Struthio camelus: one gene and its partner. The protein of the gene in region 1 binds, or shares a complex with, the protein of each later gene. Links are inferred from orthologs where the notes say so. Each region holds a gene or a part of one and is shown in the gene's direction. Other genes may lie near its edges.

Evidence for each region.
Region 2: the proteins of VEGFC (region 1) and KDR are in contact, whole or in part, in a crystal structure (PDB 2X1W), measured with the Homo sapiens proteins. The link is inferred for Struthio camelus from reciprocal best matches to the Homo sapiens genes VEGFC and KDR. Residues at the interface, in NP_005420.1 of Homo sapiens: Thr148, Asn149, Phe151, Lys153, Phe186, Ile188, Val190, Pro191, Leu192, Gln194, Pro196; in NP_002244.1 of Homo sapiens: Val135, Tyr137, Ile215, Val216, Val217, Val218, Asn253, Val254, Gly255, Ile256, Asp257, Phe258, Asn274, Arg275, Asp276, Phe288, Leu289, Ser310, Ser311, Gly312.

What each region holds. Positions count from the first base shown.
Region 1 is NC_090945.1:47,927,145-47,935,197, reverse strand, and holds the start of VEGFC (vascular endothelial growth factor C), read left to right. Parts: upstream 1-5,033; 5' UTR 5,034-5,295; coding exon of another isoform or gene 5,296-5,346; 5' UTR 5,347-5,584; coding exon 5,585-5,728; intron 5,729-6,658; exon of another isoform or gene 6,659-6,772; coding exon of another isoform or gene 6,773-6,811; intron 6,812-6,831; exon of another isoform or gene 6,832-8,053. UniProt on the Homo sapiens protein: Growth factor active in angiogenesis, and endothelial cell growth, stimulating their proliferation and migration and also has effects on the permeability of blood vessels.
Region 2 is NC_090945.1:56,670,578-56,678,411, forward strand, and holds the start of KDR (vascular endothelial growth factor receptor 2), read left to right. Parts: upstream 1-4,432; 5' UTR 4,433-4,593; coding exon 4,594-4,645; intron 4,646-5,762; coding exon 5,763-5,853; intron 5,854-6,473; coding exon 6,474-6,670; intron 6,671-7,806; coding exon 7,807-7,834. UniProt on the Homo sapiens protein: Tyrosine-protein kinase that acts as a cell-surface receptor for VEGFA, VEGFC and VEGFD. Plays an essential role in the regulation of angiogenesis, vascular development, vascular permeability, and embryonic hematopoiesis.

The sequences.
Region 1 (8,053 bases):
CAGGTTGGAAAAACTGATAGTATTCCACCTAAAATGAGATGATAGAGTAAGGAATAGGCTTCTGTTCTATATTTTGGCAGTTCTGGAAACTAAGATTATGCCTTACCCTTCAAATCCAAGTTGGTGAAGTATTAAAACTCTGGAAAAAAAGTTTTTCAAATAGTATTGAGACAGGTTATCATTTCCAAGCCCTGAACACTGGGCAATGTGTTATTACCGATTATGATCCTCATTTTTGCTTATTATTTAACACAAATTTTTCCTTACCTAAGTCAATTCTCCTCCTACATTTTTCATAAGAAGCCTTGAAATGCTAAAGAGAAAGGGGGAACGCAGCACAGTACGTACTAGTGGAGAAGACATACCTCTCTGCAGGAACAGAGATAATAGAAACTGCACCTCTGTACAGAAATAGTTTGTTTTGCCATTGCTTTAGCACATTATATGGAAACGTGTCTTAAATTGCTTTAAGACTGTTTTGTTCTGTTGCGTTGCAAAAGAATTTATAATTGTGATCGGGGAATAAAGATTCTGAGCACATTCCTTATCTCATAAGATTGCCGCTTTGAAGAATACTGCTGGCAAGTAATGTATCATGATGAGAGTTTGTACGCATAATGGTCGTGTGCTGTTAAATCCTAATGTTTTGTAGAATCCAAATTTATTTATATAGTGATGTGACTTCAATTGTAGACAGTTTAGATTGCACACAGCTTTCACTTAAGAGGCAGTGTAAACTTATGATCAGTCATTTTATTGTTTATAGTCAGAGGTTATAACTATGAACAGCATTGCTACATGGAGAGATTAATTACTTTATATGAAGTTAAATCAATACTCTCTGCATACCAGTTCTTGTGTGAGACATTGCATCACGAGAGGAAAAAACTATAGTGAAGAGAAAGATCCTTATGTAAGACAGCTGGATAAAATGTGTGCTAGTGCTTTCTCCATTCAAGTTTAGAGCAACTTTAGAGATACAGTTTACTTTGGAGAATTCAAAAACTTTCCTTGAGATGCTGCCTGGTGCTGCCCATTTTTTGATTCTACCAACCCCCCCTTAAGACAGCGAGGATTGCAGGGATTTTATGCTAATGCAGTTGTCTAGTCTGTATCACTGGGGGATTCTAATGTCACGTGCCAACAGTCTTGATTTTAAAAGTTTAGAAAGACGATCCCTGAGAACAAAGAAAGCCCAATAATCCCATAAGCCCTGAATATCAACCACTATCAAAGGGCTGAAGAATAAGGATTCTTGTCTTATTAATTAATTTTCAAGAGTCACAAATTTTTACACCAAAAGAAAGCAAAATTCCCAGATAATAAAAAAATGCAAGTTATTAGGCTAAGCATTGCAGAAAATGATTTTGCAGCAATGACATCTTTATTCATTGAATTAAAGTTATTCATCTTGGCAATACGTTTAGGGCAAATGAATGGATAAAGCTACATTTCGGAGTCCTTGGCTGAGGGTTTGGCAAAGAACAGTTTCCCATGGGTTATGCTTTACAGAGAAGACGCCTGATTGAAGTCAGGGGAAAGATTTTGGTTCTTTCAGGTGACTTTCAAGCCACCATGCTTAAATCCTTCTAGGATCATACAAGAAAATACTAATATGGGCCCGTATAAAAAAATTTGTACTTTTAAATTTGTTTGTGAGAAGTGAGGAAGGCCATTATGCATACAATTAGTAAAACTGCAGTACTCCTAAGTGTTTACTGTAAATCATATGCATGTTTTATATATGCAAGAGAGTTTGAGGAAAGAAGCAGACTACAACCTGAAATCCACTGTGTCATTTTTCAGTAGCCTTCCATAGGACTTAAAGTCGGTAAAAGGCATCAAGCAATATGGTAAGAAATGTGTAGCAACAGTTGAGACTAAAAGATTCAATGGGCAGGAGATTCACTAGTGATTCTGCTGTTTCAGTAGTCTGATACTGAATCTGAAATGGTTTTTCGTTGTTGTTCTAGATATATAATTAAGCTTTTTTGTAGTATCTTGTGTAAGGCTTTGATAGTTAGGATGCTGATTGGTATCCAAACACTTTTTTCATGCTTGTAAGCATTGTAGGAAATATGGGAGAGTTGTGTGTTTAGCAGGACTGGGAGCTGAGGTTTACAAGAGTACCTTCATCTTTTGGAATGACTCCAGAACGGAGCTTCCATGTTTGTTTGAGTTGCAGCACTTAAGAACAACAATGTCCATCTTTTAAATGTTACATTAAATATAAATCCTTCTGAAACTCACCATTAAGCACTGACAACTTTGTGTTAAAACAAAAGCAAACCAGGACTATTTGTCTTTTTTTTAACTCTTAAACATGCCTTTATATGTCTATTTAAGGAGAAAATGCAAATGTTTTGAATCAAACACAAAACTATGACTAGCTAAAGTTTAAATATAAGGAGAACTGAAACGGCAAAAGAAAACATTCAACAGCTTGGTTTTTTTAGCCTTGAAAAGTCTAAAATAAGCAAACTCTACAACAAGCAAACAGAGCAAATTGCTATAGCATGCTACTGGTTTTTTTTTTTTTTTTTTTTTTGCTGCTATTGACACTTTTTAATCCCCCAGTCTCAGCTCACGTTTCTTACAGTGGCTCCTCTCTGAGTTTTCCTACTGCTAATGATTACAGATAGAAAACAGTTATTGAAACACATCCACATTTGAGAGGCAGGATGTATTAAACAGGAGCGTATCAGGTATGTCTAGACTCAGAGAGGAATGTGCTTGACAGATGTATATTACACCAACTTAATTAAGGGGGAGTCTGGATTTTTTAATGTAATTTTAAAACCACATTGAGAGAATTCATTTGAAGGAGTCATAGAGCTTACATCAAGGATTTCCTTTGTTTGTCAACAGTAGCTATCATTGCCTTTAAAACATAACATGGCCAGACCTAGAACTGTATTTCTGCACTATTAAGGATATCTCTTTTCTCATTTGTATTTAGAAGATCAGTTCATTGCCAGTGTATTAATTTCACTTAAAACTTTAAATTAGTTACCTTGTAGGCCTTATCTGGGTATTTTCATATAAATAATATTATAATGTTTTCTGCTTAATTTGAAGACGAGAAAAGGAATACCAACTGCTTGGTGATGAGGAACGGAGAAAAGATTTTAAATCGGTAAACATTTAAATTGGCCGTCTTTTATGGGACTGAGAAAAATGCAGCCTGAAATGAGGAAAACCTTAAAATGTTACCCCTTAGCCAAAGGTATAGTCACTCCTTTGCAGAGAAAGTATACAGTAAGTGAATAGGCTGAAATCTAGAAACCTTATGATCAGATTGTGACTTGAGGTGCTATGATTGCGATTACAAGCTTTCAATTATGACACTTTAAACTTGATATACAAGTATACAAGAGTAGTCAGTGAAAGTGCTTTCTTGCATGAAAATATTTGACTCCATGATGGAAGTTCTATGAATTGGGGAAGGAAAAGGACAGAATGAGAACGTAAAGAGAACTGGGGAAACGATGAAGCCAGCTGATGCTATGATGGCACAGCATGAACAGTGTTTCATCTTGTTTCGTGATCTAGTTACTGAGAGATGCTCTCTGCGTGACACTTGGCTATTGAAATGGATATTGTCAGGTCAGTTTTATTAACATGCTGCAAAATACCTCTGTTTCTGCAGTAGTCTGTGATGCTTCTGAGAGTTTTTGGCATGTTTGAACTCAAACCAGTGATGCTGTGTTCCTGGCTTAGATGAGTTTTGCATCCTGGAGCGTGCTGGCTGGCTGGCTTCAATCCTATACTTTGATCTGCAGTGTTGTAAGGCTCCACTGAAGGACAATAAGCTTTGTAATTTATTTATGTTTTATATCTTTATAGCTGTTCTGATTAACCTCTACCACTGTCTTCATTTTGCTGCTTTACTCTCCTGTGAAGATATTGAAAAAATGTTAGTGCTTTAATAATTGTGTTAAAATGTAGCTCTATTTAAATTTTAGATTTTTTTTCAGATTGTAAATGAAGTGATTGTTTCGTAGTATCCACATAGTTTATTAGCTGATCTACCACCTTAAGACTGATAAAGAATAGAGTAGAAAGAATAGAAGGTACCTAAAGACCTGATGGAGAGATACCTTCATGTATAACCTTTTGAATGTCATTCCCTAAGTAGTTCCATAATGGGATTACTCCAGAAATAAGAATATTAGAATAGGAGTAGAGAGCCAGGATCCAGCCAAGGCAGTCAGAAATCTGTTCTCTTACAATTCTCTTACCAAAAGAAGTATAAGTGTGATGCAGAATAATTTGAAAAGCTTTTAAAATTTTTGCACGAGTTTCAGAAACGCTGTTCACATCAAACAAAAATAATAATATACAGAATATAACTCCTCCTTTCACAGCGCTGGGATTTGATCAGGCTGTACTTTGTTACTGCAATATGCAGTTCTCCACTTGTTGTACTTAAAAGGAAAAAAGTAACATCAACAAAGAAAAAACTCAAGCCTTATTTTTAATCATAGTGTCTCTGAAAAACATATTTATGCTGTTTTATGTAGGGCTCTGAACTGGGGGAACTTCTGTTCAAAGATGGCTCCAGACTCTCATTGACGGGAATACTGCAGATAAATAAGGTACTGTTCAGGGTCTGTTTCTAACATGCCGAAATCTTTTTCTCCCTCCAGTTAAAAAAGCTGCGTGCCTGTTACACTCTCGCAGATGGAGCAGCCAATATTGCTCAACAAGTAACCGATCAGGACTAAACAGAAATTTTCTTGCAAGATTGCAGACGTGCTGGGTGCGCGGTTTAACCAACCGCATGCGGTGGCGGAACCGCTGGGTGAAACGGCGACGAACTTTGCTTTCCCCTCGGGGCTGGGACCTAGAGGGCGGTAGGCTTTGGCGGATCCGCCGGCGGGAGGAGGAGGAGGCGGAGGCGGAGGCAGGCCGGCCGACCGGCCGGCCGCCCCCTCTCGCCGCGCAGAGGCGCAGGCAGAGGGCGCTTTCGCCATGCGCGGCCCCCGCGGCCGCCGCGCAGCCCCGGGCGCCGCGCACCCCCCGGCCGCGCTGCCGCTGACAGGCGTCCGGCGAGCCCTCCGCGGCGGCGGACGGCGGGCGCCCCTCTGCGCACCCCTCGGCCTCCGCCGCGGCGCGGCCCGCGCGGGCAGGGGCTGCGCGGGGAGGCGGGAGCTCCCCAGGGGTGAGCGTCCGCTCGCTCCCGCTCTGCCTCTCTCTCTCTGCCTCCTTCCCTTCCCTTCCCTTCCTTCCCTCCTCCTCCTCCTCCTCTCTGCGCTTTCCACCTCCCCTGCTCCTGAGTGAGCGCAGCCTCGGATGTCCGGTTTCCTGGTGGGTTTTTTACCTGGCAAACTCCGGATAACTTTGGTGAGAATTTGCAAAGCGGCTGGGAAAGTTGGGAACTCCCCTGCAGGCGTCTAGGAGCTGCTGCTACTGCATCTTCTCCATCCCACGGATTTTACTGCCTTGGATATTGCGAGGAGAGGGAGGGGGGAGACGGCAGCAAAAGAAGGGGGAGAGGAAGAGAAGGAGCCTCCTAATTTCGCCTGCATTCCTCCAAGTGCCCCGTGGCTCCGCGGCGCGCCCGCCCTGCCATCTTTGCACAATGCACTTGCTGGAGGTGCTCTCCCTGGGTTGCTGCCTGGCTGCCGGCGCCGTGCTCCTGGGACCCCGGCAGCCGGCCGCCGCCGCCGCCTACGAGTCCGGCCAGGGGTACTACGAGGAGGAGCCCGACGCGGGGGAGGCGAAGGTACGTCCGTGCCCCCGCAGCAGATGCGAGCTGCCTTCTGCAGGCATGCGCCTGAGAGTGCGCTCGGACGGGCTGCTTGGAAATCCCGCGGAGGAAAATATTTGGGAGAAGCCTTTTGAAATGGGAGCTCTTCCAAAACCCGGGGTGGGGGTTGGGGGGATTTGTTTAAGCCAAAAAAAAAAAAGAAAAAGAAAAAAAAGTTTCTGGGTTTTTTTCAGGGTTGCTGGAAGGGTGGTTGCAGAGGGAAGAACCGTGTTGACAAAGAAACGCAAAACACCTGATCAGCAAAGGCAGCCCGAGGGCTGTGCCCCTGCCGCGGTCCTTGGTGCTGCGTGGCCGTGGCCGGGGGCTGTCCCGCGGGGAGAGGTCGCGGCCGCGGCCCCGCCGGCCGCCGCTCGGCCCGGAGGCGGCAGCGACCCGCGGCTTCGGCTGTCGCTTGCCTCGGCGCTGGCAGCCGGAGTGCTCCCCGGCCGGCGGGTCCCGGCGGCCCTGGAGGCTTCTTCAGCGAGGGCAGGGCTGCGGGGGGCCGGGGGGCGCCGGCGGCTTTGTGCGGGTGCCCGCGACGGGCTCGGCGGGGCAGAGCGGGGAGCTAGCTGCTGGAGGAAGGGCTGAGCACCGCTTCGAGCAGCAGCTGTGCATAGGAATGAAGTAGCGAGGGAAACGTGTGGGGGACGATGACAACAAAAACTGAGACTTTCCATTTGTTGAAAAGTCTCTTGGAGTTATTGAAACTGCAGTGACCTACTGCTGCGTGACAGAGTTTATAGAAGGTGTAACTTGACACTTGGATTTGAAAACTGTCCAGGCGTACAGTACAGTTAAGGTTCTACATACGTTCTCAAGTTCCGATTGTATGTTAATTTTTATTTCTGTTGGAAGTTTCATAACTTAGAATTCAAGTACCTTTCAGCAAACTTTGTGGTTTTGCAGTTCCCAGTACGCTGATGCATGAAAAGGATGTGTAGTATATACTTGTGTAAGCAGGCGATGTTATTAGAAAGACCTTTGATGTCCGAGTTCGTAACAAGTCTTACCCTGATGTAGATGTTCTTAAGATTCGCAGCATACTTGTCAAAAGCAATGGTGAGTCAGCTCATTCATTATCCACTGAAGTATGGAGGAAAAAAAGTACAAAATGTGTGAATTACGAGTTCAGCTGCTATTCTGCACTTTTTTGTTTTTTAGATTTACAGTGATATTTTTAATCTGGTTAATGAAATAAGTTTAATATACTAATGCTGTTTGCTTTACTGATTGAAAGTTTAGGAAAGTTTACTGTAATTGGATGGGAAGTCAGACTCAGGTTCTGATAATGTGCATTAGCTGTACTTATTTTGGATATTCAAGCTGTTGTAGACCATGTGTAGCTCACAGAATTCATGCTTTTCCAATAATACTCTAAATAGAAAAGGTTACTGAGGATATTGTACTCCCTCTTCAGACATTTCAATTAGAGCCTGAATGCTTATATATTAACATCCTTAATGCTCTAAGTGATTATATTGCTTGAATGCTTATCAAGTATTTTGCAAATCTAAATATTTAAAAATAGGGACACAAAATCAGTCTGGCTGGTCACTTATTTTATCTTATCATTCACTAAGTTTTGCATTGTTATAAATAGTCTAAATAATTTTAAAAAAACATAAAAAACAAAGAAACTCCAGCTTATGATAGTGAGCCAGTTATTTCCTGAGTGAAATTGATTTTTGTATTGTAAACCCTCAGAACAGCCTGTGCTGAAAAGGTAGAAGGAATCAAAACTGGAGCACAGTGCATACTTTGTGCGTTTAAACTACTGAGGTAGAACAGCTGATAGTAAAGATACCCTCCTAAGTGATGCTGTACGTTTCCATGCACATGCTGTAGATAGTTACCCTGCTTCTTGAAACCTCTAAATCTTTAGGAGCTACCACTGAAGTGTGTTTTGTAGAAGTGCAAGTGTTCCCTGGAAAAAGGGGAACCGTGAGCAGAGCGAAGGAAAAAGGTCAGCAGCCTGGGAAGTGAGTGGGATAGCATATGTTAAACAATTATATTAACAAAGAAAATGATTTTGTGCCTGACTAGTGGTGAACAGTAATATGAGATTCAGCGTCTGAGCAGCCTTGGTGACGTTGGAAGTCTTAGTTGTGAGTTACCCTGATTTTTTTCTGGAACTGTTTGAGTGAGCGTGTATTGTGCGTGTTTGTCCCTGGGATGAGAGACTATTGAGATGAATGCCTGGAGTAATTAGAAAGGATTAAATAAGTAAACTGTAAGTAATTAGTTCAAGGAAAATGTGATTATACTGTCAGTAAAAAGTCATTTACTTGAACTTTCTTAAAT
Region 2 (7,834 bases), about 8.7 Mb from region 1:
AGGTAGTGGTGCTATCAGTGTTCCTTTCTAAATGAAAGGCCTTCACTGAGCAGTTGCGCACCTTAGGCTGCCAGGGACCATTTACAAACCTATTCAACTGCTGCAGCAAGGAAGAGCATAATCGGTGTTCCCAGTGCCAGCCCTTATCTCCCCCCAGGTTGTTATTTGAATAATTAAGCAAACAAAAGGCTGCCTGTCTGCCCCTGCTGCTGCAGTTGTCCTGGCTGGGCTCTGCAGGCAGCCGGGAGATGCTGGTGGGAGTGAGCAAGCGTGGGGGAGTCGTGACAAGCCGGGGAGGAGAGGGAAGGGGGAGTGATGGGGAGCTGCCAGTCTCTTGTCCTGCTTCTTTGTGTCTTGTTTTTAATGAGCTTTTGGCGACCAGAGGAGCAGATGCATAAACAAAAGTTTGCTGGCCTTGTTTGGCCAAGGCACGACTTCGTGCCCCCTCCTGTCATACAGATCGTTCCCAGTGATTGTGTCACGGAAACAGAGCTTCCCTCCTTGGGGGGCTGCAGGCAAAGAGGCTAACGAGGGCTGAAAACAAACTCGAAGGAGGGTTGCTGTCACTCTCCATCTCAAGGTGTAGGCAAGGGGTTTAAGAACTAAGCCTCTAAGGGGCTTTGGAAGATGCTGTATTAGCAGGGAATTGATCTGACTAAATGTACAGGAATCATGCTGGCTGAGTGTATCCCACCCATTAGATATCAGCTCTCCTGCAAATCTCCAGATCCAGTCCCGAGCCAGACCAAGACTCACGCAGTGTGGTAGGAAGGCTGGGTGTTTGGGGAGCTCATGCCAGCCCTGCATTCTTTACTGGAATTGTCTGGCCAAGACAGCGGCAGGCTTTTCTGACTAAGCCAGTCCTCAAAAGTCTTGAAGGGATTGTTTGTCATTTAAGGCAGGTGAGGGTGTTGAGCCTAAGGGTAGGTGTAGCATTAGAAGCTATTTCATGTTGTTTTGAGGATCCCAGGAAGAAACAAGATTCCCAGATTGAAACAGTCTCTGAGGAGGGAGGAAATCTCACCATTTTATTCATTCAGTAGTCTGGATTATGATTCTCGTATTTGGATTCTTTCACTTGCGCCACATGGTTCAGCGCCGGTAATCTCTGGTGAAAGCCAGGCTACATTTGATATCCTACAAGGCTAAAGGAAGGCAGAAAGGCTGCACAGAGCTTATAGCCTAAAAGACTGGATATGAAAGTTGCCATCACTTGAATCACTGGGATTTTGGTTTTGTAAACTGTGCCCCTTTGCCCCTCAACCTTGCAGCCATCTGTTGCCTAATATCCCACAGCTATCCCAGTAGCAGTGTATCACAGTAGCAGTGTATTTAGATCAGTCTTTCAGTTAGATGATAGGTAACTGTCTCTCCTGTGCTTCGGTCCATTCTTCTCTCAGAGGTTTCCCATGGTGTCTTCCAGTGACAACCCTCTTGAGAAAGCCACAACAAAGTTCAAAATATAAAAATCAGTGTAGCAAAGCACATATGATACCGTATACTCTGTGTCAGTAAAGTCATTTCACATCTTTTTTAGCTCTTGCTTTCCTTGTACACCTACCATTTCCAATGAGTATTGACCATAGTTTTTACTTGATATTATTAGAGGATTAGTCCAATGCACACTATGCATGTAAATAAATTCATTCACATGAAAAGCCCTACATCAGTAAAATGACTCTCCAGAGTAAATTTCCTCTTATGTTTAAATGTCTGCAGGGCTGGGAGTTCATTCAAATATCTGGAGTGTAAGGACTTGTCTTCTACTTCATTCATATCACAAATTTCTCTGATACGCTAGGGACAGTAATGAATACAGTGAAGCAGCAGCTTCTATAGCATAATTCTAGTTAACAAGCTTAAACTGACAGCCAGGCAAAGGACTGAAGGATTGTACTTCCATTTACAGGGTAAAGACGGAGATTTCAGTGGGATCACTAAGGGAGATAAGTACTGCTCAGAATGGATAAAAAGGGTAGATTCTGATCTGGAGCAGTACAGCCAACATATGGTCTGCAGGCGAGGTTTTTTTGTTTGTTTGCTTGTTTTTAATTTTTTGTCTGACTACGTGCTTCTGGACTACACACTTCTCTGTGGATACCTGACATTCATAACTTGCACGCTCCTCACTGCTGGCTGTTCAGCTAGGTGTGTGCATTGACTAGCCTGGAGGTTCGTGTGTCCGCTGTCCTTTCCTCCCCTTCCCTTCCCCAGGAAACTGCAGAGAAAGGAGGCAGGGGATGTAATGATCCCCAAGGGACAAGGAGGGCTAACTTCTAGTGGGCCATTACTGGGAAACTGAAGTCTGCAGTGTTCTGTCTCTCCTCCAACCTGCTGCTCATCTGAGTTGTGCCATCCTGGTGTAAAATGAATTTTACCTTCTTCTCTTTGCTGCCTTTGGGCATGTTACAGAAGTACAGAACATTCTGCGGTCTTCACTTAAGAGGCACCAGACTTGGAAAAGGAGATGTAGGAAGTATTGGGGTGCATTTGCAAGTTTGACTGAAGAAGAAGTCACGTATCCCTGCTTAGGTAGCCTCAGGGCAAGCAGTGGATATTTATTATTTTGGATATTTGGATATTTGCTTGGATTTGTTTGCAAGTTTAGATATTTGTTATTTGCACAAAGCTCAGATGCCAAGATCGTTTTCAGCAACGAAACCAACCACCCCACTCCAGTCCCCTGACATAATAGCAATAATTATGCTTGAAAAGAGGCCATAAATGGAATTACAGTAAGCTATATTTGTGTATTGTCTAACTAAGTCTCAGAAAAGTCATTTGCTAAAATCAGTATAGTGGCATATTTTCTACAGACTGCATTTTTGGAAGTTTATATATGAGTATAGAAAGCAGTAAAGTGAGGTACGAGTGATTGTCCTGTGTTCCATGGATCCCATAGTATGTTCATTTGAACATTTTTCAACTTATCCCTATAATTTCATTAGCTTTGTTAACGAGCTAAACTGCTTTGGAGGAAAACAGTTCTGGCAGGTTTATCATCTCTAATAAAAATGTTGTTCTTGGTAGTCAAAAACGACAGAAACAGCAGCACCACAAATGAAGTTATCAAAAGTGGCTCTTTAACAGTAGGTGGCTTTGGTTCTCACTAAGTATTTATCACTTCTACATAAACGTAAACCTCATATGCAGCCTAGCCATAGTCTCAGCAAGGGACAGTTGTTTAGTTGAGAGACACCACTGACCCAACCTACAATATGATGGAGATAGATGAGGGCTACCAATTTGCTGGTTTAAGAGCTCATAAGAATAGCAGTAACACATTTTATCTGCACGATGCCCACTTGCCACTTTTTGGGCCATATGATTCTTCTCTGACTTTTCATGGAGTTTATTTGGTTTCTGGGAAAAAATTAGTACAGAAATTTGGCTTCTCCCAGTCCTTGTATTTTTCTGTGATCAACAGGGGTGTTTCAAAGGAAATTACGCTGATTCCCAAGTACAGTAAACCAGCTGGAATTGCACAGCATGCAAAATAAAATCACTGCTTCGTTAACTTATTCATTTGTGGACAGGCTCACATGCAGATCTGCAGGTAAAGAGAAAACTGTAGTATGCAGATATGTATGTACATGCATGCATGCAGTTATGTATATAGCTATGTTGTTTCTGTCCATTTTCCTACTTAGATGGCTACTTATCTATCTACCCACCTATTTTATCTATCTGTCTACCTATTCTATCTATCTGTCTATCTCTCCACCTACCTACCTACCCATTTGTTACTGCAGATGTATTTGTTTCCCCCCTGAGGCTGTAGATTTATGTGTATGGATAAAGCATTTATGACCATGTATTTATTTTCCCAGAAGGACTGCTTCATGAACTTGTCTTTCAACAGTGGCTTGGTTAATAATTTCGATTAAAAAGTACAATTCTAGTTGGGGATGGGGGTTAATTTTTTTTTGGGGGGGGGGGGGGATGAAACCTGCAGTATGAAAGGGGAATCAGTACCGCAGCTGGTATTGATACCTGGGGAAAGAGTACTGGATTTGGCTGTTGGAGGAAAAGGGTGGAAAGGATGAATCTTACGAGAAGTTGCCGGATTCTGCTGGACGTGATTTAGTCAGTTAAACTGATGGATACGTGTCACACGCGCCGAGAAGATGCACCTGACTGAGGGACTTTCAAGTTGTCCTGCAAACGCAGGTCTTCCTATGGTCAGAGACGTAAAAGCTCGGGTGGATAAAGTCAAGGGGCAGCAGGAGAAGAACCGTGTCTTCCTGCACGTGCCTCAGGAAGAACCCTGTCACGCGAGGTCCCACCGGCCACCCCGACAACGTCTCCTCGCCCGCCCGGCCCAGGCCGCCAACGGCCCAACCGTCCCTCCGGCCAACGGCCGCCGGGGACGGGGCGGGGCGGCGGCGGCGAGGCCCCGCCCCCAGCCCGAGGGGACGGGACGGGGCGGGGCGGGGCCGGCGGCGCTCGCCGGGGTCCCGCATCCCGCGGCGCGGCGCGGAGCGGCTCCTGCCCCGGCCCCTGCCGCTGCCACTGCCCCGACGTCGCTCCGCGCTCGGCAGCGCCCGCAGCTGAAGCCGCCCCCGGCTGGCGGGAGGGCCCGGCGGCCGCGGCATGGAGCTCGGCGCGGCGTTGGTGCTGGTGGCCGCGCTGTGCTTGGCGCCCGGTAAGCGGCACCCGTCGGGGCGCCCCGCAAAGGGCGGTTGGGGGGAGGGGGGGCGGCCGCGGAGCCGTTGCGCTGCTGCGGCCCCGCGGGGTGTCGAGGAGGGGGGCTCGGCCGGGCGGCCGCGGGCCTGCAGCCCGGCGGGGAAGGGCTGTGCCCGGCGGTGCTGATGAGCAACGGTGCGGCTCGGCTGAGGGGCAGCCGTCGGCTGGGCTGCGGGTCCGCGGCGGGAGCCCCAGCCCGGGGCTGTCATCGGCCGCCCTTGGTTAAACCGCGGGGACGCGCGAGGGGAAGGGCAGGGAAAGAGTTAAGGCCTGGCCCGGCCGTCTTGTCACCCGCGGCGGCTGGCCGCGCTGTGCCGGTGGGGAGTCCTGGTCCTGCGCCGGTGGGGCAGGATTCCTGGCGGGAGCGCGGCCTGAAAACCTCTGGCTGTGTTCCTCGCAAGCCTTGCGCAACCTGGACTGTGTTGCCTCAGAGCGAGCATCGGCGCTGAAATCGCAGCCTTCGCGAGCGCAGGTGGCTCGGCGCGAGCCTGATGCAACCCTGGCGTGAAGAGAGCTCGAGGGTAATGGGTTTTGCCCGGCTGCTTAGGAAGAGAGGGGCAACGTGAGAAAAACATGGTAAAGAAGAGCAGTGCTGGGCTCATGAGACCTTGACTTTGTGGCAAACTGTGCAAAGGAATTCTTCACTGAATTCCTTAATCAGCAGGCTCAAAGAATATAAATATATGCAATTTATTATAAGAAAAGCTGGTGATCCCTTTCCCCAGGGAGTGAGATCATCAGATGAAGGTTCGCTTTATTTCAATGTCCAACATCCTCTTGTTAGACCTTGAATCTGGCAATGCAAAAAAACAGGAACTCCACCCTGGCTCGATGAATTGTAGTGCTCTGCAGCTAGGTCCTGACCATCTGCCTTTTCTTCCTGTTATGACAGAGTTTTTGAACTTTGTGATGTGTGAAAAGTCATTATTTACCGCTACACTGCTAAGCAGATGATGTGAAAGTGTCCACTTAAAACATGTAGCATCTACTTGTATGTGATGCTTTTCTGATTGAGCAGCATTTACTTTTATCTTGTAATTGCTTTGACTGGAGGTTTTTCATACATATTTTTGCAGGTTTATTTACTTCTCTGGATCAGCCAAGCCTTAGCATCCAAAAAGATGTCCTCACAATAACTGCAAATGCTACTCTAAATATTACTTGCAGGTAAGGGCAAATCTGGCCAGTATGCTTTTGATGGGGGTTACTTATGCAGCCTTTTTTTGTACAGAATTACAGATGACTCTTTCTCTCTCTCCTTTCATCTCTCCCGTTTCTCTCCCCTCCCTTTGTAATTCTCCCTTCCCCTGTGCTTTTCCCTGATGGGCTTTAGAAATGATCTTAAAGGGTTACAGTAACGGAGGATCACTGAAGAAAGGTACAGCAGCAGGCTAGCCAATGGGCATGACATAAAAAGTGCTTCAGAGTAGCTTTGGTCTAGTCCCGACTACTACCCTGTGAGAGGAGCTGGGAAGTGCAAGGAGACGCGGCATTAGCTGGATCCTTGCAGGGTGTGCTGGGGAGTGAGGCTCTCGCCCCTCCCTTTTAGGATCTGTGTTACTTCGATTTGCCATCACTGAATTCTCAAAATGAAATAGCTTCCACGTAGGTATTAGTAATAGCTTGGTTTGTGTGAATTTGTCATATGGGACTTGACAATCCATGCTACGTAATGAAGCCAATTCCTTTTTGTACCTGTAGAGACTAGCAGAACTGAGTTTTACCAGCTTGGCAACCGTACTGATACCCATCACGTGCTAATGCTTCTCTAACATTTGCTTTCCTAGTGGTCAGAGAGCTCTGGACTGGTTCTGGCCGAACAATCAGAGCAGTGCTGAGAAGCGTATCGCTGTGACAAACTGTAGTGATGGCCCCTACTGTAAGATGCTTACTCTCCTAAAAGTAATAGGCAATGACACAGGAGACTACAGGTGCCTTTACAGGGACAGCCAGGCAGCTACAACCATTTATGTCTATGTTCAAGGTAAGTGCTTACACAGTTCATATGTGACTCCCACCTCTCTGCAAAATGAAAAGGGGTATTAAGCGTCTCAAAATGATTTTGGCATTAAAATTTCTAAATCCCAAAATTTTTAGTCCTATGAAACTATTATTTTTCCTACCCATTTTCATGCTAAGTAGTTACATGCCAATATGCTCGCTGCCTTCAATAGAAAAAGCTGTGTGCTTGTAATTTTAAATTAACCTTCCATGTACGGTACTTAGTCTACTTTTCTCCTCTGCCCAGAACTTAGCCTGCATATATCTCTACTGTGCTCTCAGCCTGTCCTCATGATTGCAGAGCTATTACTGAAGTCAGTAGGAGTTTCCTACAAGGGAGGATTATAGAGGTCGTATGTATTTTTTAAAATAGACGTATCACCCTGCCTTTTACCATTTGTACTAACTGATGCTGTTCAAACAAATTAAACCGTGAGCTTCCGTGCATTGGTTGACTATAGGAGTAAAAGCTGAGTTTCAGACTCAGGCTATCAGTTCTGTTGATAGAAATGCTGAAGAGCATGGCAGCTGCTGCAAAGCCTTCAGTTATACATTCAGCTTAAGAAGGTGCATACACTAAGGCATCTCCCTTTTTTGCACTTGCGTTGGTACCCATGTTCTTGTGCGTCCTATTTCCTTTTTATTCTAACTTGTGGTTAGCATTTTTAACAATGGGGTGTTGTTATATACATGAGCTAGCTTGTTCTATAAGATCATGAGCTCTCTTTTTTTTTTTGACTGACTCTGAAAAGGACCCTGCTGTTTTGGGGGCTGTTTAGCGTGTCACTACTTTAACTGATATTTCCTGTAATACTTATGCAAGCAAAGTTATACTAGGGTAAATCAGATTTTTGCCTGCACAAAGAGTGCCGTGGCAGGAAGCTATTCTCTGAAGTACGTACTCCTGCTGATAACTGTTTTGAGAATAATAGTATTGTAAAACTGGGTGGCTGTCAAAACATAGCCCTCCCTTTATTCTCATCATTTGAGTGTTTTGCCAGGTAGAAAGAAATAAAACTGATTTGAGAAGGAATAAACAGAGAAAGAAAAAAATGGAAAAAGTTTGCTCCCAAATCACTTGACAAATAATATCTATTTACCAACCAAATGTTCTTCTAGATTACAGATCTCCATTTGTGACTTCAGT